Struthio camelus: one gene and its partners. The protein of the gene in region 1 purifies or fractionates together with the protein of each later gene. This does not show direct contact. Links are inferred from orthologs where the notes say so. Each region holds a gene or a part of one and is shown on either strand. Other genes may lie near its edges. The genes, in order: PPP2CA, TIPRL, INTS2 and PPFIA1.

Evidence for each region.
Region 2: the proteins of PPP2CA (region 1) and TIPRL purify together in Homo sapiens (co-immunoprecipitation; 4 studies listed by BioGRID and IntAct, with this or other methods). This does not show direct contact. The link is inferred for Struthio camelus from reciprocal best matches to the Homo sapiens genes PPP2CA and TIPRL.
Region 3: the proteins of PPP2CA (region 1) and INTS2 purify together in Homo sapiens (affinity purification with mass spectrometry; 4 studies listed by BioGRID and IntAct, with this or other methods). This does not show direct contact. The link is inferred for Struthio camelus from reciprocal best matches to the Homo sapiens genes PPP2CA and INTS2.
Region 4: the proteins of PPP2CA (region 1) and PPFIA1 purify together in Homo sapiens (affinity purification with mass spectrometry; 6 studies listed by BioGRID and IntAct, with this or other methods). This does not show direct contact. The link is inferred for Struthio camelus from reciprocal best matches to the Homo sapiens genes PPP2CA and PPFIA1.

What each region holds. Positions count from the first base shown.
Region 1 is NC_090954.1:3,901,038-3,908,736, reverse strand, and holds the start of PPP2CA (serine/threonine-protein phosphatase 2A catalytic subunit alpha isoform), read left to right. Parts: upstream 1-4,682; 5' UTR 4,683-5,094; coding exon 5,095-5,196; intron 5,197-7,699. UniProt on the Homo sapiens protein: Catalytic subunit of protein phosphatase 2A (PP2A), a serine/threonine phosphatase involved in the regulation of a wide variety of enzymes, signal transduction pathways, and cellular events.
Region 2 is NC_090942.1:97,612,410-97,619,648, forward strand, and holds the start of TIPRL (TIP41-like protein), read right to left. Parts: upstream 3,020-7,239; 5' UTR 2,791-3,019; coding exon 2,690-2,790; intron 1-2,689. Other genes in the region: GPR161 (G-protein coupled receptor 161), read left to right, coding at 6,837-7,239. UniProt on the Homo sapiens protein: May be a allosteric regulator of serine/threonine-protein phosphatase 2A (PP2A). Isoform 1 inhibits catalytic activity of the PP2A(D) core complex in vitro. The PP2A(C):TIPRL complex does not show phosphatase activity.
Region 3 is NC_090957.1:18,831,629-18,838,700, reverse strand, and holds the start of INTS2 (integrator complex subunit 2), read right to left. Parts: upstream 3,014-7,072; 5' UTR 2,918-3,013; coding exon 2,625-2,917; intron 2,501-2,624; coding exon 2,362-2,500; intron 1,647-2,361; coding exon 1,544-1,646; intron 1,288-1,543; coding exon 1,174-1,287; intron 480-1,173; coding exon 349-479; intron 240-348; coding exon 66-239; intron 1-65. Other genes in the region: MED13 (mediator of RNA polymerase II transcription subunit 13), read right to left, coding at 7,023-7,072. UniProt on the Homo sapiens protein: Component of the integrator complex, a multiprotein complex that terminates RNA polymerase II (Pol II) transcription in the promoter-proximal region of genes.
Region 4 is NC_090946.1:32,987,607-32,995,032, forward strand, and holds the start of PPFIA1 (liprin-alpha-1), read left to right. Parts: upstream 1-4,424; 5' UTR 4,425-5,356; intron 5,357-6,506; coding exon 6,507-6,770; intron 6,771-7,426. UniProt on the Homo sapiens protein: May regulate the disassembly of focal adhesions. May localize receptor-like tyrosine phosphatases type 2A at specific sites on the plasma membrane, possibly regulating their interaction with the extracellular environment and their association with substrates.

The DNA of each region.
Region 1 (7,699 bases):
GCTTTTTAATTCCGTATTTAGCATCGAAACGCCATAGCAACAGGCACTTCAGACATGCACTGATAGACAATTTAGAACTAGTAAGATATTTACAGACATAAATATAAGAAAACCAATTTAAGCATTCCTTACTCTACAGTGGTTAAACAATACGGCATTTACTTAGTCATATGATGCCTGAAATCAGGAATCTGTATAGTTTAAATGCTCACTGACGCCTCTTTTACTACATGGGAAACGTTAGCGCTACTGCCATAACTGATAAAATTACTACAATTGCTAATACACAGTCAGTGAGTTTCAGATTCATTTCAAAACACTGGAGTTTGTTAGCATTAAGGATTGCTTTGCAAAGAAGCTGCATAACCTACCAACTTGGTATCTGTAAATGTAAGTGTAATCAGCTTGATTAGTTACTCTTTTCCAAGAATGCCACAAATACGAAACACCTGTCACTGACTCAAGTGTTAAGATTGTGTACAGCGGTAAGGACAATACTTGACTCATGGCAACCACACCCAGACCTCCTTAGTTACGTATCACGCTCACAAAAGCCTGGCATATAGTCACATATTAAATACTAACTATTATTATTGTCATCTCACAACTTATGGTTTAATCTTATTATATCTCTGACATACTGACAAATCCCCAACTTATGCAACACAACAAGTATTCTTTTACCATTATTTCACCTCCTTTAAAGGTTCAGACAACTATCTGAGAAAGAAAAGGAACCACAATTCTCTAAACTATTGATTGTGGCTCTCGAGTAGGGGGAAGTTATGAGCTCTGACCTCTGATCCAAGTTTATAGATGTGAAACAATATGAGGATAAAATACAGAAGTAATTGTTTGGGATGGAGATGGGAACCAAAATTTCCCCCTCCTGTGTGAGTGTCCAAATAACCAAGCTACTGAATCCTGACTGTTCCTTTGCCGAGTCTTGAATTCTGTTCTGGTCAACAGCATGGTTTCAGCAGCAAGCAGGGAGTGATGATGATTCCCCCATCCCTTCTAAAGTAGCATTTATTCTAGTAGTTAAGAGCTATGGCTTTTGAATCTTTTCAAACCAAAAAAAGCTCATTTCTCAGTTAAGCACTCTAATACTAGGGTACTGTGAAACGAAGGTAGGTGTGGGAACCATCACGTTTCCTTTAAAAGGACAGCAGTGACCATTACCGCAATCTGTCAGGAGCCCTGCCTAATCTACGCATTAGCTGTGCTTTCCCCACACCTATCAGATAAAACCTTACAGGACTTTGGCTGTAGTTGCGCAAGCAAACCAGGTTAACAGTTTCCTGCTGCGGAAGTTTCATTTCTCCTCTCTCACCCATCTTTCCTAGTCCAGAAGCAGAGCCTGCTCCTGACAATGCAGCCCTACCTCCCCCGCCTCTTGTTTTTTGGGTGCTAAAATTGGCACTGATTATACCCTTTGAGGCTAGATCAACTATCCACCACATTGATCAATCACACTCAGACGGTCCAAGAGCTATAGTCGGCGCAAAAAGCTGCAGGGAAAGGATCTTTCCATTTTTGCACTTCTGAGGCTGTGGTTTGAGAAATCCACAGTAGCTGCAGAATCTCCTCCGCTAGAGATATGTAAGACTTAGTCGGCATATCCCTGGATAACCTAACCCAAGGCCCTGCTTCCAGCTAAAGGCTGGACTAATGACCTCCGGTGGTTTCTTCCAGATTAAACTTCTCTATGATTCCTGACCCCGTGCATCACTTCCTCATGCCACCTGAAACATTTATGTGGCTATATAATGAAGCAGGCAAGGATAAAGATGCAGCTTTCAACTAGATCAGGTTTTTGATCTTTTTTTTTGCTGGTAACAGACTGGGATGGTAATAAGACAGGATAGCATAGACATGAGACTGCCACCTTTAGTATCAGTGCCATCCTCTGTCAACTTAAAGTGACCGAGTAGGCTAGGGTGCCTACTTAAAAAGAGTTTAAACATCTCCTGGTTGGACAGCCGCTAAATACTTGTTTCTTCTCTGCAGCTCCTTTGAGCAGGAATGTTTTAGATCCTTCAACTCCGTATGCCTTGATTTCCCCACAGGAACTGGGTACAAAAGTATATTCCTATTCAGAAGCTGAGCGCTTACTGGCCTTATGTTATACATGTCAGCCATGCTGGCTAGCACACAGCTGGAGAGTATTCAACAAACATCAAAACTACATGAATTGATGGAGAACAAAACATTGGAAACACCTATCTTGAACAAAACAAATGAAACAGGAAAAAGAGAGTGTTTAAGCATTGGAGGCCTGCATGTACAGACAGTCATGCTCATGCAGCAATGGCATAACCATGCTAATCTGCATAACTGCAGAAGGAAATTAAGAAGCTTTCAATAGTAGAATATTCAGCTAGCTAAGCACTGCATAACAGCATCTTTAAGGTGTTCTGTACTATAACGTTTTGGGAACGTGTAAACGCAGATATAGCAAAAAGGAAGCATGCTAAAACAATCTGTGTTAGTGCAAATTATATCAATGGTATGTCCAAATGATTCTCGGAGATATAAAGCACTGATTTCTCAAGAAGAATCTCTGCTGCTTTTCACTTACTCTCATTTCACATTGCCTTTCTACTTCACCATGATCCTAGTCTTATCTGTCTGGTTTGAGGGCATCCTAGCAGATGTCCTCAAACTATGCAACATCATCACAAAATTTAATCTGTGAATTCATTAGCTTCATTTCTGCTACAATGGCTATAGGTAAGCAATTGTTTAATAATACATTAAAGAGTAATTGAGGTTAACAGATATTTTACTGCTTTTTCAGACCCTGCTACAGCTAGTTCACAAACACTTCAATCTCGCTACCCGTGCACCATACGTATTCTCCCATTTTCGTCTTGCCCTTGGCTTCTGAATTTGTTCAGAGGGAGTAATGCTTTCTCTTCTCTTTCACAGAAACCCTAGAATATTGTGGATGTGGTTGAAAGTAAATACTTGCATATTTCTATGTGTTATGTTTTTTTTTTTAAATAGTAAGTAGAAGAATTTTGTAGGCAGAAGCATAACTAATTGCAAGATTGTCACTAACAGGAATACAGAGAGATGTGTGCTACTGAAGTTCCCCCAAGAATTCCACTGATCTCAGCGGAAAATACAGAGCTAAATATACAAAATATAGTGTTAAGACATTTTACCATTCCAGAAGGCCAACAGTTATTAGAGAAAATGAATTTTAACTTGGCAAGTTACACAGAAAATAACGTTACTGATTTATTTTCTTTGCATTTATTTGTTCAAAATTATTTTTTGCATATTAACAAAAGATGCGCTACAAAGTAAATTCTTGCAACCTATCATTTTCCAATGAACAACGCTTTCATTCTATAGCTTTTCATTCTACAGTACAAAACTAAGGGCATTTGAAGAGGCAAACCTATGGAAAAATGCCTGAACATTTTGTAAAATGTTTTTGCCCACATTAGCAAACACAACACACGAGTTTGACTTGGACTTGTCTGAGAGCCCTGTCTGTGAGGTAATTCTGACAAGAAACGGAGGCTGTCACGTGGAAACATGCATTCTTTTCCTCTTACTAGTTGTTCGTTTGCTTCAATAGCAGGCTAGGAATTTAAGTTTAGACTCTGTATGAGGCAATCTCTGACTGAGACATTTAACACTTATCAGCTGGAAACAGGCTTTGTCAGCCTGACAATTTCAAAGGGGACATTTTGTCTGAACTTTGATCCATTCAATTAGGTGACGATCAGATTTGTGTAGTGACCTTTTCATGTCTTATGAGAGTTATTTTGGAAAAATCTTGCAGTAATTGGGACTGCAGTTATTAAAGACGCAGATTACAGCACAAAATATATTTTACCACTTATTATAGAACTTGTTACTTTCATTCCTTTTTAGTGTATGTTACTTGTATATGATTTATCTTACTGCTGTCTTTTCCTTAAGACAAAAAGTGTCCATGTACACTACAAAGATTAACCTTAAGGTCCAACACTAGTTTCCTGTATTCTGCTGAAAACTTATTTTCCACTTCACTCACGTCTCTCTAACAAGCGGTCCTAACCTCATTAATTTTCCCAAAGCTCTTTAGCATGAAGTGTTCTAAAGGAAAGAAACGCAACATAGCTTCGGCGATGCCTTTTCCATCAAAGCACTGCCCGGTGGCAAATCCGGCCTGCTATTTAACGTTTATTTTTAAACTGAAATATTTATCGCTAAGTACCTAACGCCAGCAAGCGCGCCCCGCTTGTCCGCTGCCGGAGCGCCGCAGCCCGAGTGCTGAGGGCTGCCCAGGGCAGCGCGGAGAAGCCCTGTGGAGAGAGAGGACTCGATTACAGCCGCGCAGCCCCTCTCCCCGGCGGACTTCCAGCAGCCTCGAGGCTGCGAGCCGCCGCCGGGGACGAACGGCCAACCGGCCTCCCTCCCCCCCTCGGGGGACCCGCACTGAGGCGGCGAGCCGGGCACCGGCAGGCACCGCCGCTCCCTCACGCTCCGCCACCAGCCCAGACGACTCCGAGCGGCCGCCACGCCTCACACAACGGGCAGGCGGGAAAGACCCCGCCCCGCCGGCCCGTCCCGCGCATGCGCCAGCAGCCCCTCTTCTCCCGCTCTCCCGCCCGCCCTCGCTCGCAGAGCGCAAGTGCCGGCACCTCCCCGCCCCCTTTGTTTCCTGCCGCGCGGAGCTGCGCAAGCGCAGATGCGCCTCGGCGCCGCCGCCGTCCCGCCGGTCTGTCGGCTCCTAGCCGGCCGGCGGCAGCGCGCATGCGCGGTCCCGCCCGGCTGCTGCGCATGGGCCGTGGCCTCCCCTGGCGTCTCCCTCCCCCTCCCCGGAGTGGAAGCCGAGGCGGTGACGTCAGGAGCGGCGGCCATTACACGGTCTGGTGCGAGGGAGCGAGCGGCAGAGCTGCTGCTGCGGAGAGCCCCGCTCCGGCCGCGGGACTCGCAGCGCTTCGGGCCGCTCCCGCACCCTCTGCGCGTCCTGCCGGGTCGTAGCCGCCGCCGCTGTTCGGAGCCGGTCGCGGGGGCCTCCGAGGCGGTGCGGCAGGAGGAGGAGGAGGAGGAGGAGGCGGCGGCGGCGGCGGCGAGCGGGCGTGCTGCGGGATGGAGGAGAAGGTCTTCACCAAGGAGCTCGACCAGTGGGTGGAGCAGCTCAACGAGTGCAAGCAGCTCTCCGAGGGGCAGGTGAAGAGCCTCTGCGAGAAGGTGAGAGGCGGCGGGGGGCGACGCCGGTCCCCGCCGGCGGCTGTGGGCAGGCGGTGGGGGGAGAGCGGGGGGGGGGGCGAGCCTCTGCGCCAAGGCGGGGCCGGGGCGGCCGGAGTAGGTGCTGCCGGGCGGGGGTGGCGCTACTCCGCCGAGTAGGCGGCGTGGGGGGGGGGGGGGGGTTGCGGGCGGGACGCGGCTCGCCCGGCGGGGAAGGGGGAGCGGGGCAGCGGGCCGGCGCCTGCGGGCAGCTCCGGAGCGCCCGGCCGGAGCGCGACCCTCGTGCGGAGGATAAGCGGGTCGGGGGCGCTGGGCGGGCGGATCTGCGCCCCCTCTCGCTCCGCTCGGAGACTGGCTCCGCCTCCCGCCTTTTCATCGCCTCCTAAAATGGCGCCGCCGCCGCCGGGATGCTGGGCGAGAGACCCCCCGAGGGCGGCCGCCATCCCGCCACCCGGGCGGGAAACGGGGACGGAGGCGGCTTCCCGCCCGCCGCTCCGTAACGCGGGGAGAATCGGCGCAGCCGGCCCCCGTGACACAGTTCAACCTCGCCAAGCGGGCCGGAGAAGCGTGGGTTATCCCGATGGGAATAAAGCTTAGGGTAGTCGGTTTGTAATTACAGGGGGTAAAAGCTGCCGCTTGGACGTAAGGCTTCGGGTTTTTTTTTGATATGAATAAGCACAGGCTCATCTATAACTGTAATGGAAGGGTAGTTCAGCTTCGGGACGTGGTTTCTCTGAAGAAAATTCTGGGCTCTGTGAAATGCACAGAACAGGCGGTTCCGATCACGTGTAGCTATTTATTTTTGTGGTGACTGATAAAAACATTGAGATTTGGGTGTTAGAAGACAGGGTTCATTGGTGTGCTTGTAACTTAGAGGGGTCCTAAAATCAGCCCAGGATAAATCCCCCTTTGACAAAGTGGGTAAATTAAGTACTTGCTTGTATAAGCGTTCATAAATTGATGAAACTGTGATGACAGATGCACTTGTAATTGCTTTTTCTATTTACTGAAAACTTATAAGCTAACATCAGGTGTCGGCAGCTGTTATTTATTTTGATCTTTATTTAAAAGAGTTGTTGTCGTGTGTTGTGCTTGATGAATTTGACTGTGGACCTGAAGGAGGGTTTCCCATGCATGAAAGCCTGTTTGTTTCTCCAGTAATACCCTCTGCTCTAAAAAAAGACGTTACCTATCTCTTCCAGCGTTGTTTTTTTGATTGCTGCCAGGCCATGTTCTTGGCCAGGTGTGAATAAGTAGGTCTTTTGGGTATGTGGAAACACTTAATACAGCTTTGAGTAAAAATAGGTTTCGTTCTAGGAATGGAAATTAAAGGAAAAATCTGTTCTAGTTTCATCAAACTGCATTTTCCAATAGAATTTTAATCCTGAATGTAATTAAAACTTAATAGCTGAAGACTCTTTTCAGTTACCGGAGGTTTTATGTGTTCATATATTTCTAGATAGAAGGAAGTAATATTTGTGGGCTCTTTGGGAGCTAGAAGTTAAGGAATATGGCAAGTCATTGATGTACTCTATTCTAAAGCCTGTGTACCAGCTGTGAGAAGTAATGAAAATATTTCAAATTTGGCATTGCATCTTCACATACTGTAGCATGCTGTTTTAGATGCAAATTATTTCCGGAAGGCAGTCTATAAACTTATTGAAGAACTTACTTTTTTTGAGCAGGCAGGTTCTTACTTGAGTCCAAATTTTAGTTGACTAATATTCCAACTACTTAAAATTGTTACCCTTAGATACAGTTTGTGTATTTTAAATTGTGTTGCAAATAAGTAGCAATATAGATGTCTAATTATTTTTCACTTTCCTCTTGAGGATCGTGGTCTGATTTCTTCCTCATGCTGGTTTTTCAAGAGGCAAGTATTCCGTTTACCACTAGTTATAAGCTGATGCTGATACAGGTTCCTGAACGCTGGTTTAGTGGGTATTTTTTGTAAGATTGTATAATAACTTGCAGAAGCATGAGGCATCTGCAAAAAGCTTCAAATTTACTGGGGGCTTTGGGTAGATGAGGAAAGGCATAGTATTTGAAATTCCCAACAAAAAATACTATTCATCATTGTTGAGCGAAGAGAACAGGCTGAGTTTTTATTTTTCCCGGTGAAGAATGGAAATCAAGTGTATTTCTAGATAAATACATAATGCTTGTCACCAAAATAAATTATTGACATCAGGTAGGAAAAAGGGCCTAACCTGAAGTATTTCTGATAGACTCGAGACATCGAGTCAGATGCTTAGACTGTAAGGAAGCCTTTAGTTAGGCTGGAAAAAAAAGAATGAATGTTAAAGTGACTAGATTTGTGGGAATTGCATACGTGGATAAAAGGAAAGGTTACAGAAAGTTATCTGTGCAACTGCTGTTGTCCTCTAAGATGAGAGATCACAAGGGTGTATGAGGTATATTTAAATGATATTTTGCAGGTAGAAGCAAGCTTGTTTTACCTCCAGGTGGGTGGATTTGAGCCATCTCCAAACCAGAGGTAGTATTT
Region 2 (7,239 bases), on another chromosome or scaffold:
ATAATTTGAAAGCAGTATCATCAATACGTTGTACAAAACTTTGTTATTTTCCCCATTTAAAAACGTGACGTGCATTGCAGAACCACTGATCAGAAATGCCTTTTCCAATATAAAAGTATTCCTAAATCTTTCCCTCTTTGTCAGTCCTGTACAAAAGCCCCACACGTGGGGAAATCAAAAATATCCAAGTAGTATAATTTAACAGCTTTCAACCAGGGGAGAAAACCCTGGACAGTCCATTACTTACTTTGGCTGGTGCCCGAAAAGAAGTTTAAGGAAAAAGCAAGTTGAAATTCGCTACACAGTGGTCCATGCCTCCATCTTTAGAAGCCTACAAAAAGAGGCTGAAAACAACCCTAGCAGAATACATTAGAGATGAAGTGCAGAAGATATTACCGTGCTCGAATCACTACCTTCCCGAGCTCATAGAGAATATGTACTGGCACTGGCAACCTCTAAACGTGAAAGCCACAGCCACATAGCCACAGACCCAGCTAAACAGAGTACTATACAGAGTACACGTGATCCTTGCAGAAAATCCCAAACCAACCCGTTTCACTTTTTTTTTTTTAAATCAGTTTTTACTCTTATGTATACATACCTGCCACTTGATATCTACACTGACCGCATTCACCAGAAGGCTTCATGCACTTCTAGCATTTCCTCCCCTCCTCTACCTACTTTACTCACTGCAAGGTTAAAAAGAACATGAAATCTGAAGAAAAGAAAACTTTAGGAAACGCATCTAAATACGAGGATTAAAAAAATTCCATCTCACAACTTTCCTAATGATAAATAATAAAGCATTCTGCATAAAAGTGTTATTTCTGTACCACTGCATACAAAAGAACATCACGCTGACCAATCTGAAGTAAAAATAGCAGATTCGTAGACCTGCAGAAGGCAGGTCTCGTTTTCCCAGAGAAGGCAGCATAAAATTACTAACTTTCCATTTCATCCAGTGCAGCCCCTTTGATCTGCAAAAACCAAGTCTAGGACACGAAGGGGTTCTGCAGCTATGGCGTATTTAATCCTTCACCTTTCTATAGATGTTGCTCAGCCTTTTTTGTGACACACGTTTACTAGAAATGAAACTCCTATAGATAATAACTATGTTCTCTAAGTAATAAAAAGCAAGGAAAAACACTAAAAGAAATTACATTACAAAAGGAAACCGATTAGAAACACTGCAACCGGGTAGTGGCAGTGTCTCTTCAGATTTGAGGCAGAGGAACTGTTTGTTTTCTGAGCTCTCAGGCCAAGTTCCAAGGTCCGCATGCAAACAGCTAATGTTGGATTTATATTCCCTAGCCTGCAAAGTCTTTTCTGTTATTTCTGTCTTGTGACTTTTCCATCTTTACTTTTTTGCCTTTATGAATACATTCTGAAAAATCAAAGTGTCCCAGAAAAACATTGAAAAGAACGAAGAGAACTGCTGCAGGAAAAAAAAAAGTTACTGACATAACTGTTTATTTTAAAACAGCTACAGTAAAAGAAACTGAACAGTTCAGAAGAGGAGTACAGTAGATAATCTGGCTTCTAGATTGGCAGCTCAGTTCTAACTCTAGTTTAGAGACAATGACCAGTTAACATCCTCCTCAATGTAAGAGCATAGATCTTAATTTTTAAGACCTAGCATCTTGCAAGAGAAGTCTTCACAAACATATCTGAAAAATAGGAGCTACTGTAAAAATAGAGCCTAGCTATAGCTTAACTGGATGTCGAGTCCTCTTTACGGGAGAATGACTAAAACATAAGATTCAAGCTTCCTCTCATTTAACTACAAGAACTACAATATCATTAGTTAAAAGCATTCAGTGAAGATTATTTTATCCACTAAGTATAGGATAAAGATGAAGAAAGGAATGTCATTTTTATCTGTTTCGAGGCACATATCCACTTAAAACAAAAACGTGAATACATTGCTGTTTTATGTAAAAAAGTGTAAAGCTTCAGGAGATTAGACTTTAGCAAACAGTCCTAACCTCAGAAAACATGAGCATGAACCAAAACACATTTAACAAGATTAAAAGAATCTCCATATATTTATCACAAAAACAGAAACAAAGAAGGATCTGACGAATTCAGCTGCCCGTAAGCTCAGCTATGACTCTAAATAGCTGAGCTGTTCAGATCTACATTAGCAAATCTGACTTCAAGTACTTGATGCTGACAGGAGCATTTTTCCAACTGCTTTACCACAACTGAAATAACTACCACACTAAGAGGGCGAACAGTTAATTTTTAATGAAATTCACTATCTTTAAAAAGCCATTAGCATAAAATAGCTTATGAAAATCTATGGGCTGCATTTAAAGGGTCCTTAATTATTCTTAAAAAGCAACTAAGGAAAATAAGCTTATAGGCAGCAGGCTTCAGCTCACAAAAACCCAGATTTCCAACAGAACGGCGCTAGCAATCACAACAAAACAAAACAGAAAACCTGAAAACCGTCAGATTTGAAAACCAAACCATTCCCACTTCTCCAGCCAAAACAGCAAGCTTACACTGGCAGAAGGAGAGAAAACGAAGGAAAAAAAAAAAAAAAGAAGGAGTTGCTGGTGGGAGCAAAGGCCCGCCTTCCCCCGTCAAAGGAGCATTATTTATCTCCTAGGCCACAGCTCCGCAAGCGCCTCGCCTGCGGGGAGCGAGGTCCCGGCGGGCTCCCCGCCGCCCCGGCCCGCCTCACCTCTCGGCCTGCGCTGACTTCATGATGTGCGTCTGGGCAGCGCTCAGCTTCCAGGGCCCGAAAGTGAAGTCACGGCGGCTGCTCTGGAAAACGGGGTGCATGGCGGCAGCGGGGGGGGGTGGGTGGGGGAGATGTGGCCCCGCCGAGGAGAAGGCAGCCGGGGACGGAGGAGGCGACGGCTCCACTCCAGCCGGACGCCACTAACGGTAACGACGCCGCTAACACCTCCGTCAACTTCCGGTTCCGGGCTGCTGCGCGCGCAGCCCCGGAAGGCGCTGCAGGCGGGGAGGGGTGGGGTGTCACGTGACAGTGGGCTGGGCGCCATGACGGGGGCGGGAGCTTCGCCCCGTGCTCGCGGGGACCTGCATCGCCGCCGGGGGGCGGCGGGTGGCTGCGGAGTGCAGCCGGGCAGATGGTTAGGCGCGGGCGGGCAGCGAGCTCAGGTAAGCGTCCCGCGAAGCCCAGCTTCAGCCGCCGACTGAAACGTCACTAGTTGTCTTTTGCTGCTGCAGACGCACACCTTGCGTTTTGTGTGTGTTACATACGTACGTACGCCTGCAGTCTCCTGCGCTGGGTTGAGCTGCTCCTGATTGCAGTCCAAAGATGATCTTTAAAGAACGTCAAACAAAATATGATAGTATTGTGAACCTAAAATCCTGTAGGAAAGGAGTGACAGAGCGGATTAAAATCTTCTATCGTTTCAGCGTGGATGGCTGGATGCTCATGTTGTGTTTGTGTGTCATCAAAAGGACAGACTAACTCCCCAGGAAATTGCTGTAGCATGTGAGCATGAATGATAGTCCTACTTGGTCTTTTGGAAGACCGTAGAGTCATGGCAAGCCAAGAGAACAGCCATGGCAACATGCCACATGTAATGCAAAGAACTATATCTATCTAAGAACTATTATCTGTTCTAAATTAACAGAGCCACAAAAAGTTCTAAATTACACAGCAAAGCTGTGACTTAGTCAGAGCAGTCACAGTGGAGCACTAACGGCCTTGCCAGGATTTGGAGAAGCTCAGACTTAGGAATGCACAAAAATGGTATTTAATTACCCTTGGTCCTTTACGCTGCACTGTCTGTGCCTTGCTTCCTGAAAAAAGGCACCCCCCCCCAAATTTACCCTGGTAAGACACCTGTATTTCTTTTAAAAGTCTCTTATGGTCTGGGAAGTCTAGGAACGTGTCCCCCTTTGTGCCACTTACTTGTTCTGTGTGCTTGGGCAAGTCATTTCATCTGCTGATCTGTGTAAAAATTGATTCCTTCCGACTGAACCTCCGAGGGTTTAAATAAAATGGATGAAGGCTGTAAAGAGGTCTGACATAGCACAGACTTGATTCGAGTGCCTTAGGACCAACCTGCGCGGTAGCTGGTAACTGTCCCCCTTTCGCAGGGCATTTGTGTTGCTTTCCCAAGGCAGCACAGCAGATAAACGGCCCTGCTAGAAGGCCGCTCTCTCCCCAAACGCAGATACAGTTGATTCAGAGCAAGTGGTGCCGGAGGGACGAGCTGAGGTCAGCCGGACCCGACCCGTTTTTGGAGAGGCAGCTCGTCTAACCGACTCCTGACGGTGGGTGTTCAAACGGGCCGGGGTGCGGGCGCTCCCCGCCCACAGACTGCTGCCCACCGGGGCTTACGGCGGTAAGAGCGGCCCCGCTGGCTGCCGCCTGCGGCCCCAGCCGCAGAGCGGGATGGGGCCGAGGGGAGAGTCCGCCGAGGAGGAAGCGCTCCCGAAGGTGACGGGGAAGCCCGGACAGAAGGGACGGGGGCAGAGAGAAAATGGAGGGAGGCGGAGCGGGAGGGGAGGGGAAGGCGAAGGGAGGGGGCCGCCGCGGCGGGGAGGAGGCAGGGGCTTGGGCATGGCGGGGGGAGGGTCGGGCCGCGACTCGGGGCCTCTCTCCCGCCGGCGGCGGTTGCGGGGGGCCCGGGGCGCTGTAACCCGAAACGTCCCGCCCTGGCGGCGGCGGCGGCGGGCGCGGCACGGCGGGGCGGTGAGTGCGTTGCCGGGCAGCGGGCGCGCGCGCCCGGGCCAACGGCCGTTACGGGGCGGGGAGCGGCCGTTGCGGCGGCCGTTACGGGGTTTGGCGAGGGGGGGAGGGGAGGGGAGGGGAGGGGAGCGGCCGTTACGGTGGCAGCGGGGCGGGGACCCCGCTCTCCGCCGAGGGGGCGGGCGAGACGAGGCGGGCTGAGGGATGCCCGGCCCGGTGGAGGGTGCTCTTCCCCTCCCCCTCCCCACCTCGGCCCGTTGTTGTCGTTGGAGGGGGTAAAATGGAGGCTTTTTCCCGGAGCCTCCCGGCAGCGGCGGAGGGGGCCGTGAGGAGCCCTGCCCGGAGTCGGGGCTGCTTCCCGCCACCTGCCCTGCCTGCCGGCCCTGCGGCATCCCGCGGGCCCCGCGGCGGCGGCCCTCGCCTCGGTAGGGCTCCGCGGAGATGTTGCCTCGCTCTCTGCTCGCCTAACCCTGGCGGGCTGCGCTAAACAAAGTAGTGCCCCGCTCGGCGCGGCCCCCCCCCCCCCATTTTCTCGCCAGCTGGTGCCGCAACCCCGCACATGGTTTTAATCAGGGAAGCAGCGCTGGCTTTCTGTCGTGCGTGTGTGTCAGCATGCCTGCTCCCTGCTGCTTTCTCTCCCGGAGAGGGGTTCAGCCGGTGGCCGGCCGTCCAGCCCAGTGGCCAGTGTGCGGTTGGCACTGGTAGCAGTGCTGGCCCTGGGCAAAGAGACACCCCCCCGCCCCAGCCCCTGCTTGTCCCACCAAGCAATTGCCCCTGTCTGAGCTGGGGCTCACAGAGCCAGGCCCTTTGGCCGTTCTGCTTAACTGTTTCCTCCTGGCTGATGGGCACGTTTGCTGGGCATCCCCCCACCCCGCCTTTGGGTAAAGCAGGATTAGATGCAACTCTGAGGGGAAGGGTAGGAGCGCGTGACCTGGGTGTTGCTGGAGGCTGTGGCCACTCTCGGATAGCCTCCTTTCTAGAATCCGCGCCTCTTTAAAAGGTGTTGGAAAGACTCACAAGTGAGCTGCAGCCATATTTTAAAGATAAACTTTAAGAGAAACGCTATTACGCACAGTCGGCAGTTTCACTAGAGAAGAGTTAAGCTAGATTTTACGAAGCGTGGCTCAGTAGTGTCTTCAATTAGGCTCTTAGGAAGGCACAGATAAAAATTGAAAAAAATACATCTCTGCAGCCTGACAGTGTTGCTTAAGGCCATAACAACCTCACGGATGGAAGAGGTTCTTCAGTACTCCTGGTGATTTGGGAACAATGGATGGGCAAAGCCGAGATACCCTCAGTGGGCCGCTGATTTCCAAGAAATGTTAAGATGAACTTCGTTTTATTTGTTGCACGCTTTTTTTGGTTGTTCGGTTTGCACACATGCATTTTTGGTGTTTTTTCAGTGTGCTGGTCTGCAGATGGGTGAAAGATTGAATTAAGCTATTAGGAATGCTTGTGGTAGACAGCAGGCAGAAGGCTGCTGCAGAACCGGGGGGAATACTGAGCTCTCACAAAACTGAGGTTATGAGGCAGGGGGATGGGTGTTGAGCAGTGATCACTGTGGTAGCTAAGGTGATTATGTACATGGAGAAGTGACATTAGGAGAATATGTTGCAGTGCTCCCAGATTCTTTGAATGTTACCTAGCAACCGTTAAGAGTCAGCAGGGTATGACTAGCCAGGCATCCACAGACCACTGAATAGCAGTTGCTACCTAGGCAGAATGCAATGTCGGGATAAGCAGACAGGAAAAAAAAAGACTTTTTTAAAATTGAGAGAAACAAAGACTAATTGTTACATTCTTCCTGTTTCTTCACAGCCTAGATGAAGGGACTGAGTGAGATGTACAGCTGGTAAGTATGGCTGATCAGTGCTTAGAAGCAAGTAAGATCCCTACAAAAATATTAAATGTTTTAATTTTCTTCTTTATTTCTTCCTTCCTCCGTCCCTCTCCATCCAACTCTTTCTGTCTTTCAGACAGTTTCTCCCCTCTTCTAGATTTAACTCTATCATTGACCTCTTTGGCGTGCCTATGGGCAATTTCCTGCCCCTTTGTTTTCCCATCCAAAACGATTTGCTGTCTCCTACAGGTAAAGTTTAATTAATGCGAGTAAAAGAGCCCTTGATCTTTGGAGAGGAGGTGAGGAAATCTTGCCTGAATGTCTCTGAGTGTTGTTGTTCTGCTTCTAGCTCCTCAGCATGTCTTGGCTGCTCCAGCTCTGCGCGCTCTGACAATGAGCAGCAACTCCTCCCTCATCAATGTGAAGGGCCTGAGGAACCTTACCACGCTGGAAAACGGGGCTGTCAGAGTCACCGAGTCTATTGCTATAATTGTCATTGCCATTTTCATCTGTTTGGGCAACCTGGTGATTGTCGTCACCCTCTACCGGAAGTCTTACCTTCTCACTTTGAGCAACAAGTTTGTGTTCAGCCTGACCCTCTCCAACTTTCTCCTCTCTGTACTGGTACTACCTTTTGTTGTCACCAGCTCCATCAGGCGGGAATGGATCTTTGGAGTTGTTTGGTGCAACTTTTCAGCACTGCTCTACATGCTGATCAGCT
Region 3 (7,072 bases), on another chromosome or scaffold:
TCCAGACAAGTTACAGCAGCTTACAAAAATAGTTTTTGAAAGCGAATATTCAAAAGCGTACCTACCTGTTGGCCATTTCGGATAAAAGTTCCAAACCAAGTCCGAACCTTAGCATTTGTTCCAAGTAGCAAACCACTCACAAAACACACCAGATCGCTCACTCCATCATCTGAAGATTCATTTTTGGTGTGATCCAGGGTCAAAGCAACACCAAGACCTGGTAGATGACACTCTTCCACCTAGACAAAATAGCCGAGCTCAATCTTTTTTTTTTGTTTTTTAATGCTCCAATAAGGATCACAATTATGATTTGCGTGTTGTCTCGTGATAGAACAATTACAGACTTACCACCATGCCTCTGACCCTTAAAGCTTGGGAAGGGTTCATTTTACACAGGTGACGAAGTGCTTCTGTTCTACGACGGCCTCCAACACTTTCCTCATCCTGCCGCTCGCCGTTCTTAATCAAACCTCTACAGACTAAACATTCGAGAGGAGGTCTAAGTAAATCTGGCCTTTCCAGCAGAAAGCCACGTAAACATATAAACACAAGACGAGCCCTTTCATTCAGCGGACTGTGATTTATTAACTGAGCCACACGAACCTTGTGCCAGGGAAGAACTGTTGATCAACGCTGTATCAGTAGAATAAGGAAACGGTGTTTCTCCTCAGAGAAATTATAGGGTCATTACAGATTTAGGCATCATTCAATTACTGCTCATACTCTGTCTAACGCAACCTGTGCACCTGGCAGCCCTGCAGACTGAAGTCTTCTTGCTACATAAGTGATAATAAATGGGCAACGGCAGTATGAATTTTTCACCTCATAACATGCCTCGCTCTGAGAGACAAGGACAATTAGCAAGGACAGACCAGGTTCCTAGACCCAATCATTCACTGTCTGAATCAGCCTTTATAAAGGTGACCTACAGATGAAAAACTGCAACAGGCACACAATGAGTCTGAAGTACGCTGCAGAAATAGGTAGTGAATGCGATGAGAACGAGAGGCCTTTCAGCATCTCTAAGTATAAATGCATCCAAAGTGCATTTCACAAGCCAAGCGCTCCTCAGTTCAAATATTTATGCTGCTTAGCCTAGAATCAATTTGATTGCTGGAAATTATTTCAAAGCTTTACAAAAAGAAAGCTTGGCAAGAAGAAACTGTAACTCACCCTCGTTAAAACTATCGGGAACATTGGCCACTAGGAGGCACAGGAACCAGGCTCCATTTTTAACGTGCAACAGAGCTTCAGCTACATCAACTATGGGCAACAGCGATGGCAGCTCTGGATAAAAAGAGGATCTCATAAGTCACTGTAAAACAGTAGCTTTTAATATAAATTTATGTAACGTGCTCAAGTTAACGAATGAAAGATTACTCTTTGGTCTATTCCTCTTCCAAAGAGCTAGACATCCAACATTAATCTTAATTCAGCTAGGAGAGCTCCAAAAGTTAGGGTAATTTTTTTTTTACGTTTGTAAGTAGCGAAGTCACAAGCAAAACAGCATTAAGGAAAGCACTATAAATACAGAGCACTACACCTGCTTGCAGAATGCAGAGAACATCTGCTGCTTCCTCCAGATAGACAGGACTCTCGAAGAGCTCGGACGATTTGAGAAAAAACTCACCGTTTGATTCTGACACCTATAAGACAACGTTCATCATCACAGAACAGGTTTCATGAAGTGATTTGTATAACTCAATCAGCACCTGTCAGACTTTCAGAGCTTTGAATTCAACAGATTGAACGTATTAAAAACTGTCAAAAATGTACAGCTATAAACAGAACAGGCAAGCAAAAATGCTTAGAACAAGCAATATTTACTAGTAAAGATAATTAAACACCGCTGGTATCGTTGCTTCTTTCCGGAAAACAGAAAAACAGCTTACTAAGAAGTCTATAAACAGGGTAAGTTTAACAGAAGAACATAAAACACAGAGAAAAGTGAGAAACGTGGTGGTGCATATTACTGCAATAGCAGTAAAAAAAAAAAAAAAAAGGACAGAAGGAAAAGCTACAACATCATCCTGAAACATGATTTCTGCTCTTATAAGCCATCGCATTGTATTTAAGTGCAGCATGTTATAGAACGTACAGAGCCTGTTAAGAAAAGATTGCCCTCCTTGCCGGGAGGAAGAAAGACTTTCTCTGGGAAGCTGGGTTCACGAGGAGTTTACGTGACAGAGTTTAAGTCTCGGCGAAGCAGCTACGGACCGGAGAACGGCCCTGACACGCACCGGCAGCACCAGCAACGCAACCTGGCGTTATTTCAGCACATCCCGCCTGCAGCTTTCTGGTTCTTCGCTTTCAGGGATATAAAATTCACAAACGCCGAGCGACGGGGAAGCGAAATTTTACCTTATTCATAATTGCTAGTAATTCACTAAGCACAAGACGAAGCCGACGAGGCGAATCACTGTGCTCAAACTCCAGCGTCAGACCGTGCTGGAGCTGCGACACCAAGACGCTCTCTCCACTGCCTCCTCCCAGCTTGTGTCTAACAGACAACGGAAACGCAACGACAACCGTTAAAGAACAAACAAACGAGCCCGACGAGCACAGACACCTCCTCAGCTAAAGGCAGACCGCAATTCCCGGGGCAGCGCCCGCCGCGCCGTTACCGCAGCTGCTGCTCCTTGCTGGCGTCCTGCTCCAGGGCGTGGAAGTCCACCGAGAGCAAGGCCACGATGGAGTTGACGGCCTCCACGCCCGAGAGGAGCCGCAGGATGAGCTTCTTGTCCTGCGCCCAGCGCTGGCTCTGGTCGGCGGGGGCGCACAGCGCCATGCGCACCAGGCAGGGCAGCAGCAGCCGCAGCTCGGGGTCGCTCAGCGCCGCCAGCCGCACCACGTCCACCTTCTGCATGGCCTCGAAGGCGTAGGGGCTCACGAACTGCAGGCCGGAGCACTCCGCCATGGCGGCGCCCGGCCCCGCGGCGGCGACCGGCCACGCTCCACGGCCGCCGGCCACCGCCGCCTTCCGGCGCGCGCCGCCCGCGTCACCGCCGGAAGTGAGGTCGGCCCCGCGGCGGGCGGCCGTTGGGCGGCCGGGTGCGCGCGCGCGCGCCGCCGGCGGGAAGGCCGCTCTGAAGGGAGGGGGGAGGGGACGGCGCCCCCCCCCTCCCCCGGACGTCTGCTCGGCCCCCGCCGTAAATAAAGAGACAGCGCAAGCAAGGCTTCATGAATAATTTATTCCATTTGAAATTTTTTTTTAAAAAGTATAAACCTTTTCTCTCTCTCTCTCTCTCTCTCCATTTCCTCAATCACAATTTGTACAACTCAGCGTTTATGGCATTCGGCAGCAATAGCGTTTGTTCCTCAGTCACGTTTTGTCACGATAAAGGCGACGGCTCGGACCAGTAACCGTCAGCGCCGTGTGCGAACTTAAGAAGGGCCCCGGTAACGCGACCCGGCTGCGGGGGGGCGCGTCCAGGACCGAGGCGACAGGCTGCAGCCGGCTCCGCCAGCTCCTGACATCCAGTTTACTCGGGAACAGCGAGAGCTAGACGAGTAACTTCCTGAAAAGTGACCCTGAGGATTATGGTAGGTCCCAAATCCAGTTTTGCTGTAAATTTAAGTTTTACTCCGCTAAAAAAACAGGATGTACAGCGCCCACAGCGCCCCCACCACTCTTCCTCCCCCCACACCACCACCCCGGAATAGTCCTGGATCCTTTTAATTAAGGACAAAAAAAACCTTCCCCAGTGCAGGTTGTCAAGACAGTAGTGTCATACGCTATCACCTAATTCAGAAAACAAATTCTCAAAAGAAACCCAGTCCAAACATTGTTTATGCAGCATTACTATTAAAACAGACTGATATGCTGTGCCATACCGTTACGCAGCAAATTATATGATGCAATAGCATTTTAAAAACATTTTACTCTTATTTTTGAAAGCTTTAAAATAGTGTAACATATTTTGATATTACAGTATTAACAAATAGTGCTTGAATAAAGACATCTGCAAGTCTTCATAGCAACACATGAAGTTAAAAATTACCATAGGAGGTAAATACAGAAATACAGTAACCTGCGCCATACTGACAGCTAAGTAAGAACATAGCTGAGGATTTAAATATAAATTCATTTATTTTTACTTATTTCCGGAAACGTTAGGAAGATTAACATGTTACAGCTACTTTAAAATTTGAGGGTTGTTTGCAAGTACAGTTGGTGGCCTGCCAGTCTAGCAACAATGCTTACAGAAACCTAATTCAAATAACAGTATAAGTCACAGTCCAGATGACTGCATGGCTTAAGCACAGTATAACTAAATTAAAATACTTTTTTTTTTTTTTTTTTAAATCTGAACTGAAGGATCTCAGATGCATCTTTCACTGGCTATCTAACATACGTAAGTAGCTGTATAAGTTTATTTCCTCTTAATAGAGCACTGCCAGGAACAATGTTTTCTTGCAAAACCATTTTGAGAAGCTAGGGCTGAAATGTTCAAATACATTAAGCTTGTACTTGCTAAACAACCCTAATTATTGGATTGTGACAATTTTATTCATAAATCACTAATTATGTGCCCTTAAAAGAGGAAAATGGCTAAGTGAATGAAACCAACAAAAAAGCACGCCCAATGTAGTAGCTGGCTCCATGGGGATGGCAGTTTTGATATGCACATTGCTGGCTGTGACCATCACTTCCAAAAATGGCCCTCCTGATCTTTTCTAGTGGTTACAATATGACAGTTTACTTAAACTGCATTTGGGGACATGGGGAGGGGGGAGGGGAGAGGCAGACTTCACAGTTGGAGTTTCACAGGGAAGGTTGTGGTCCAGATAACAGAGTACAGTTATACCAATGCTCAGGCAGCCGATTCACTTACCTTTATGGATACAAGTCAGATTTAACAAAACGAAACAAAAAAGACACGTGCTCTGAAAACTCCAGTTTTAGATGCACTTTTCCCCTTAATCTCAGCCAAATGAGAAAGAAAACACCTGCTCTAAAACAGAAGTGTGCTGTTTAATCTGCAGTACATTATCATTATATCAAGAAAAAGTAATGGACAGACCCAGGTTTTTACCTTTAATATCAAAATATGCTGACTTCTGATTGCACTCATGTTTTTTCTGAAGAAACTACTGAAAATTTTTGTCACCAATTGTACAACTTCTTTATACAAAAACAAAAAAAGTCGCTAATTTTGCATATACACAATTCAAGGAAAAATGATCTCAGGCAAATATTTTGCATTTACAAAACATAATTTTCACCAACATAATAAGTTTTGTAAATACAAGTGATTTCTTCGTTGTAGAGGATTAACAGTGGGTGCCCCAATGTATCTTAAAACTTGCTCCTTTCAAGATTTAAGCAGGCAAGATGAACAGTACTGAGACCCAGGTGATAAACTAGCATGGGTTCTCTCAACAGGCTCACGTGGGCACTGCAGGAGTAAGTCTTTACCCTGGCAGTCAGAAGATGAGGAACCAAAGGAAAAAAAAAAAAAATGCTGTTGCTCCTCAGCACCCGTAGGGGCCATTTTAGAGCAGCATCAGACATTTGGCATGTGCTGAGAGAATGGAAGGAAACTACTGAGGAAAAAGGGCGACTGTAGATAGAGGGAGAGGTTTACAAAAGCCTTATAACTCACGAGACCCTTCCTTAGGGAGGGCTAAGCCTCCTTGGCACATGCCCCAGCCGGAGTCTGAAAAGGGGATAAGGGGAAGGCCATGCACTGATACTCGAGACCTTCACCTCCGTGCCAAAATACATGAAAAAGGAAAACATTCAGGGTTGTGTTTTGCTTTTTACTAGTGGAATAAAGTCTGAATACCAGAATTCACTGAGAATCTATATACACCACATTTTAGTTAAACACACACCAATCTTAAAGTCAAGATTGACTATTTTTTTCATTTGTAAAATGGCTAGAGCTGGGCTAAATTTCAGCCTTGCAGGAGACTTTGGATAAGGTCAGAGTTTTCTGTGTCTGTGTGTTCCGACTCAGATTTGTGTTTTGCCACAAACGTGAAAGAAAATAGTGCAGTCACCACGGTGCCAAGAATATCCAGGTAACAACAATGCACAATAGATATCCTTGCAATAGTAAAACTTGTCTACTGGAAACAGATCTGAGAATCTAGCCACAGCCCTGAACCATAACACAAACTTCAGTTGAAGAGTTTATTCATTTTATTCTCACTACAAGTTAAACCACCTACAATATCACTTATATATTGCCATTGTTACTCTGTAAAGGTGTGATATAAAATGCTGTAAGACCCGGTACCTTTTCAATTTTATATAAACACAGTGAACTTCATTACTGTACATGTACTCTGCAACTACAGCTTAGCTGTAAATCCCCCACACACAATGGTATGGACATTAACCCCTCTATCCCCATTAAACTGTACATCAAGACAATACAAATTTACTGTCCCCACCCACCCCCTTACAAAAAAATAATACTCTAAAAGCAACCTACTGCAACTTTTAATTAAGACGATTACATATATTTTAGACCAATTGCTTTAAAGCAAGAAGGCAGTATAAACCTTCTAGGAAAATTTTTATAAAAGAGGTTAAGAAATATAAGACAATTTATACATTTAAAAACTTACAATAAATAAGAGATGCAGGCATTTTTTGAATACTAGGTACTATAATCCAATACAAGAACATCTTGATGTTCTGAAGCCATAGGTTGAAACTTATTGTTCCTCCTGTTTCTTCTCATCTCCATGCTTTAAAATTCATTAACCATGACTGGGTACTATGGCTCATTACTCTTCACAAATACTGTGACTGGGGAAAAATGGTTAATTTTGCTACTAAAAATGTTATAATACACATTCTGATCATCATTCTAAAGAGTCCCCCAGAGTCATTGCATCAAAGACAGTAGGGTTATAGATGCCCTTCTCACAAGCCAAAGCAATATTTGCTGGAAGTAACAAGATTCATACCCCATCACAAACAACTTGCACTGAGAAGAATTTATAACTTAGTCCTGCAGTGAAATATCCCTTTTCCTCATTCTTGTCTTTCAAAATTCAGATGAAGATCACAGCATATTCATGATAAAGTTATACAACTGATTCAGCACCACAAAAT
Region 4 (7,426 bases), on another chromosome or scaffold:
GATGTCCTCTTCATTGACAGAACTGGTATGACAAATGTAGTCATGACAAAAGACGGGGATTTTGGCACGCACTGTCCACCTGCGTTGTGATCGGGAAGGACGGCCGGAGTTGCAACGTTTGTCAGGCAGAGCCAGGTCAAAGAGTCTAAGCCCATTTGAACTCTGACTCTCAAAGGATGAAGATAAAATAACGGCAGTTCCTTATCAGTAAAGGCATCTCATGGCTCCGCTGCCCTCACTGCCGCAGCTGACCCGTAAGAGGAACATATTCACAGGGTACAAAAATTCAGATCTCAGCTTAGGTACAGCATACGAGGTCCGCAGTGCAGCACAGTGTCATGTTATGGGTCAGAAGTGAGGGACGTGCTTTGTGTTGTGTGTCTTACTGGGTAATATGATGTGGGAGGGATGGGGGGAGAGGTTAAAAAGGAGAAGCTATGGGGAATAAGAGACTGTGCTACTCTGCAAAACTTAGGAGCAATGTGATAAGCATCATGGCTGTCATGGATAACTGTCTATAGCTGTAGTCTTAGTACCCAGCAGCGACCCTGGAATGCAGCAGGCTTCAGCACTGGGAACCAATTGCCTCGGCTGACTCTGAAATGTGGATATCTGCCACTCTGCTGGAACTGTTCATTTAGCTGGCAATTAGTAGCAACAAGATTCCCCAAAATACTGGAAAATCTTCTGAAATTCGCAGGTACTGCAATTTTTTGGTTTCTTTTCCACAAATAATTATGATCCCAATCCTACAAATTGTTCCCTTCTGAACAGCTAAATTTCTGAATTAATTGAAGCAATTGTAGCTTTGGCCTGGATGAAATCCTACTCTGCTTGTTATCAGGGGAACAGCTTTGCCTTTCTGGTAATAAAGAAGCCTACGAAATACCTATCAAAATCAGTTGATGGTAACTTAATTTAACATACTTTAAGTGTTATGCCTGCATGACAGTTATATTTAATAGTTCCATTATTCACCATGCAATAGTTCAGGCACAATTGTCCAACAGTACGGGTCCGTATCTAGTAACATTTGGAGAATGACAGGAAAATGAGATCTTTTTAGCAATAGTTTATCACTCCACTAGCGTGTTTGTAAAATGTGTTTTTCCTCCCCTCAGAATTAACATGAAATGTTCTTCTGTGGTTCAAAGAAAATTTTCATGCAAGTGTAAGCATGAAATCTAGAAACTGTTTGAACTCGAGAGTAGATCAGTGGACATAATTTCTGAAATGGCTGCTCTGCAACTACAGATGAAAAGACTAATGGCCTGTGGGGCATTATTTAAAAAGCTGGTCCCTTGGCTATTATTCATAAATGATTTCACAATGGAATCACTAATTTTCAATATTGAGGGCTTTCTACTAAAAATTAAGCAAGGCTATCACTTTGATACTAGACTTGCAGTACAAAATGAAGACAGTAGAGCAAAAAGTTTTAATCTTCCAGAAAATTACCATAGTTTTTGTTTATTTTTTAATAATGAGGAAAAGGAATTTATTTGATTTTTTTAACTTATTGCTATCCAGTTTTTTAGGTATCACTTTATCAGACTGATAAAAATTTGACTTACTTATTCCTTTGTATTTTCTTCTTGAATATTGCATTATAGAGGAAGGGAAAAATAGTCCAAACTCCTAGTCTGAGATTTAGGGAAATCACTCCCCGACTCTTCCACGTGTTTCTGACTGTGCTCAGAAAAATGTGTTAGTTTTTCACGTACGTAGAAAGAATTTAAATATTCTTACCAGTGCTTTGCTTAACTTTTCAAAGAGACGATCCAGTTAGCAGAGCATTTTTGTTTTCTTTAAAAAAGCAAACAAAATCAGGACTTACAGTATAAGCAATATACTTGTCCATGAATTGCATAGGAGTTATAGGAGATGATTTTACTAATGCAAAGACAAACAGAGCATTTGGGACAATGAAATAGAAGCAGGCTCTGTAGAAATGTGCTTAGAAATAAAAGAGCCGATTATTTTCAAGGTAATCTTCTGGGCCTAGTCTTAAGCACTAAGTAATTACCTTTATTTTACCTCAGAAATCTGTTGCTGTTCTTCATAACCACGGCCCAAATTCTGTCGCTAGTTCTACATATCAATTATGTGAAAGAAAGCCTCAGTGTGGGCAAAATAACAGGTTGAAGCCCGGAAGCCTCTTCCTTCCACCTGTCCTACGATCACTTTAAGGTTATGTTAAAATCAAAGCTAATAAGCATATAATATATCAGCATAAATATATCCAATCTTATAAGGAATAGCACTGCGCTGTATTGAGACTATTTGACAACACAGGTCATTCCATATCATTAGGGGGCTTTCCTCCGGAATGACACAATTGATTTTAACTTTTTTGCTACTGTTTCTGTATTGAAAAGTCAGATCTCGGTATTTTATACAATTACAGTTCAGATGTGTATTATTTGGCATTGAATCTCTGCTAGCCAGTATTTGGTAGAACTCATGATTTGAATGTGCCTCCTAATATTTGGCTTTTTCCTTAAAGTCCTGGCTTCCGGAGTCATGTGATTACATCAGACACTTCAAGAGAAAAAAAAAATCTAGATCTCATGGTTCTAGAGAAAAAACTTAAAAATCTGATCTGAATTCACCCTAGGGCTCAAATACCAAAGGCAAATACAGAGCACAATGTATTAAGTTCATAATTGTAAAGGTTTTCCTGCCTGGGGGAAGGAAGAGTGACTTATTAATAACTCTAGTCAGTTCTAGGTGCCTCTACGTTGTGTTTACAAATTAGGTGTCACATAACTCAGTCATAAAACTGCATGAGCTTCAGTTCAGGGACTGTTATTTTTTTGCATGACCTGCAACTGTGTAACCGGCCCCTGACGCTTATTGGAGCTTTGCATTTATAAAAGAAAGAACGGGGTCTAAAATGCAAATGCTTTATTCAGTGACGCTTTAAAGTAGTAACACAAACTTTTTACAAAGGGTACAGAGAGTACTTTTCTAAGCTTTGCGTACAGATTAAAACCCTACTGCGTTGTGTGAAAAAGCCTTACAAACATGATGAACCTGGAACAGAGTGAAAGCTATGTACGTGCAAGCGGAAAGTATTTATATGCTGTTTGGAAACAGTTTTAAACTGGGGGAGCGGGGCGGGGGAGGCTCTTTTGTCAGTGTAGCCAAACCCCATTTCCTGTGGGGAGTAAGCTGTACCAGTGAAACCCCCTTTCGCTGGTGTAACTGTGTCGGTGCTACAGGCTCGGCCAGCGCGGCTCACCTGCTTTTCTCCTAGTCCTGCCCCACAGGTTAAACCTTCCTAGCCGGGACCAGCCCCTGGGACCGCGCGCAAACGTCGTACCAACGGTGGTGGGAGAAAGCTCCTCGCGCCGTTTCATCTGCCGCTTTGCGCGGACAGGAGACCCATACAGGCCGTTCCTCCTCTAGCCCCTTTACTCATGCCAGAGCCCTTAGTCATACAGGATTATTGGTTAAAACCATCACCCCATAGCTGTGTGAGCGCTAGCTAATTTTTTTGAATGAAGGTGGAGAGCGCAGGCCGAGGGGCCCGGCTGTGGCTCGGGGGGGTAGGCCCAGGCCCAGGCCCGGGGCCTGGCTGCGGCCAAGGCTGAGGCCAAGGCGGAGGGAGTGGGCGATGCCCGCCGCGGGCTGCGTGGCCGCTGCCAGGAGCGGGCAGACCTGCCTGGCAGGGCCGTGCCGGGACACGCAGAGCCCGAGGAAGGAGGCTTCGCCAGCCGTCCCCGCGTGTAATTACGGGGCAACACTGGCACACACAGCGCCCTTGAGCGCCGGGCGCCCTTGCTGCTGAGGCCTCAGCGAGCGTGCCTCCCTGCGCGGAGGCGGGCGGCGCGGCGCGGCGCGGCGCGGCCCGGCCCGGCCCTCCTCGCGGGTTGACAGCCGCGGGCGGCGGGAGCATCGCTGGCAGGGCACCGGGGGGGAGCGGGGCTCGAACCCGCGGCCACGGACGACGGCAGGGGCGGGAAGGTAGGCGCGCCCGACCCCCGCGCGGGGCATTGTGGGCCCCGGAGTAATTTATGCAGGACCGCAGAGGGCGCCGGGAGAAGCGGGAGGCGGCGGCGGCGCGGGGGCTGGCGGCGGCGGCCGGGGCTGGCGCGGCCGGCGGCGGGTCGGGCTCGGGGTCCGGCTGGCGGCCGTGAAGGGGCGCTCGGAGCGCGCGGGGCCTGCGCCGCCCCCTGAGGCCGCAGCGGCACCGGCGGACGCAGGCCGCCGCCGCGGAGCAGCGGCACCAGCCGGTCTCGGCCAGCCCTTCGCCGGCCGCCGCGGCCGCGGAGGTGGCGGCGGGCGGAGCCGGGCCCGGCTCGCGGCGACGCGCGCGGCCCCGCCGCTCCCTAGCGAGGGCCCCGCTGGGCGCGGGGCCTCCGCGGCCGCGCTCGCCGCTGCGGCGGCCCGAGCCGGCCCTGCGCGGGCTGCCGCGGAGCGGGGCTGCGCCGCCGCGCAGGGAGGCCCGGCGCGGCGCGGCGCTCCCGCGGGAGCAGGGAGCCCTGTCTCGCCGTCTCGGTGCATCTTTGTTTGCCGGGGCCTCCGCAGGGCAGAGAGGCGTCGAGAGCCGGCCTTGAGCTGCCGGTTTTGCCCGTGGCTCCTGGGCCCTGCCGCCTCCTGCGCCGCCTGCCTCCGTTTCCCGGCTGGTTTCTTTCATCCCTCTCGGCTGGATATCGAAATTCCGCAGCATCGTCGGTGGGACTGGCCGGGGCCAGAGTGCGCCTGTAAAGCGGCTGGAGGAGTAATGCAGGCGAAGCTGCGAGTCTCCCTTCTGCTCGCCTTTCAAACCGGTATCAGCTCCTCGCTTTTGGGATTATAAATGTTTGAGCTAAGGCCCAGGAAACTGAAAGGAGAGCCTCCTGTTGGAATTAATAGAGGAGGAAAAAAAGGAGGCTTTTCCAAATCCTTTGCAAGAAAACTCAAGTCGTTGTTCCGTCCTGTCCTTTTTCTGTTCAATAAAGTGACTGTGACCTGAGTGGAATTTCAGAGCAATGAACTATTGAAGCTTGTTGCACCAGCGGCATAGAGTATTTTTTTTTCTCTGCACGTGATTCCAGCTGTTGCAGGAACTATGGGCCAGTAATAGAGAGATGGGAAGCTGAAAAGGTTTATTTTCACGTTCTCTGTTCTGGGGACTTGAGTAGTTAGCTGAAGTTGCTGCTGCTTTTTACTGGATCAGCTCTTTGCCCCGCAGGTTTATTCATTTTCGTGTGTATGGAGTATTTCAATTACATAGACGTTGGGCTAGAGCTGAATGGATAGTTTGCAATCTGAAAAGTTTTGGGGGATAACAGAAGACTAAAAACAGAAAAACTGGTACTGCAGGAAACTTGACGCCTGTTTTCCAAGCCTTTTTATTTCATTGAACAAGGTAAATAACGTAGTGGTGTCGAAAATACAGGCCTTTTGGTAATCATGCATAAAAATGTTGCAGCATTTCAGACTTTTTGAAGTTTTTCAAGAGATTCAGAGGTGTAGTCCCACGGTAATGCTCTGAATAAGTTTAATTGTTCTTTAAAATGTGCAGATATCAATGTGAACTTAAAGGCTGAGAACAAACGTTATGGTACCTGGGAGGATGTGAGAGAACTTTTTTCTTATCTGTTTTAGGGTCTCGTAGGTTTGTGTTGTTGAGAGAGGCTGTCTGGAGACCTTCAGAGGTCTTCAGGACCTTCAGAAGGTTCAGTGAGAATGTGCAGTAATCACATGTGTGATTTTTTTTCCTATGCTTTTTAAAAAGTTTCTGTCTCCTGTGGTGATCTGCTTGGGGTCTTTAAAGCATCCATCCAGTTTAACAGTAGTAATGTAATTAAATTTGTACTGTTAACTGTGTTCATACTGTGACTTCAATTATTTTCACTTACATTTACTGTTGTTATCAACAGTGACAGCTGGTACCACTTAATAACGACATCTTACTTTCTCTTATTATTTTATTACTGTTGAGGGCTTTTATCTTCTTTTACATGTTTCTCTCTTGAATTGGAGAATCTGGATTTACTGTTAATTTACATGCATCAAATTTACCATAGAGGTTCTGCTCCTAGCATAAGCTCAAAGTAGTTGTTTAGAATACCTTCTTTGTGTATGGTAGGAGTTGGAGAAGACAGATAATGATTCTCAAAATATGCAATATAATCAGTAACAAGTTTAAGTATATAATTTTTGTGTCTTGCTGCTTGCTTTATCTTTCTTTTTCAAAGACCTCAGCAACAGTTTCCTCTTAACAAAAATATAAATCTGTTAAAATGAGATCATAGTTTGAAATGTAGCTGTAGAAATCTGATTTTGCAAGAAGTCACAAGATTCTCATTATAAAGTGATTAAATTGGTTGTATACCTTTTCTCCTGCAGTCTTAATGAAACAGTGGCAAGCACAAAGGTGTTGGCAACCTTTGCTGATGCTATCATTGGGAAAGCTAAATTGGTGTTATGGGTAGTATCCCAAGTTCCTTTGCTTATCATGTTTAGATTTGTTTGACTGAGACTTATGGTTTTTATTTCTCTTGTTTTATTTCAAGATGATGTGTGAGGTGATGCCAACCATCAGTGAGGCAGAGATTCCCTCTGGGGGAAATGGAGGCCATGGTTCAGGTTCCCCGTTACAGTCAGATGCTGATTCCCATTTTGAGCAGTTAATGGTGTCCATGTTGGAAGAAAGGGATCGCCTTCTGGAAACGCTAAGAGAAACTCAGGAGACGCTAGCGTTGACCCAGGGCAAGCTACATGAAGTTGGTCATGAGAGAGATTCCTTGCAGAGACAGCTCAATACTGCACTTCCACAGGTATGGACATTTTCAAAGGAGGGTATCTGGTGATAATTTTTTTCTGTGTCATTTTGTTTTTGTTTTTTTCTTTATTCAATTTACTTAAAAGTCAGGTTATGTCAGGGGAAGATCAATCTAGCCTAGTATTTTCCTGAAGGTATTTGTTGTTGCTTACTTTGAGACATGCAAAAGTAGAGACCAACCAAAGACCAGCCCTTTCCCTCCTGTATGCTTTCCTGGTTTTTGGTGTTTCTTTGGCTTAGGGGCAGCTTGAACGTTAAGGTGTATCTACATCCTTTTGTGTAATAGAACTTGTTGGACTTTCTTCTACCACTCTCGTAATTTTTTTTTTAAATGCAGTTTCTATCTGCCTTATTCATTCATATGCTCAAGGATTACATATAAGCTGTTGGAGAGAAAGCAAACCATTCTGATACTGTTATGGACTTAGATTCAAAAACTGGGAAGTTTAAGACTGCTACCTTGTGAATACGTGCTGTGTTGCCGTGGCAGTACAGAAATCTGAGCGTTTTGGTTACCTCGCTTAGTGCCTTTTAGGAGTATGGATTTGTGTTTGATAGGAGTTACTAATGATTAGCTTCTGGAGGAGCTTTCTACCAGGAAGGCAGTAAACTAACATACAGCCTGTGCTACTAAAAGTATTATATAGGACA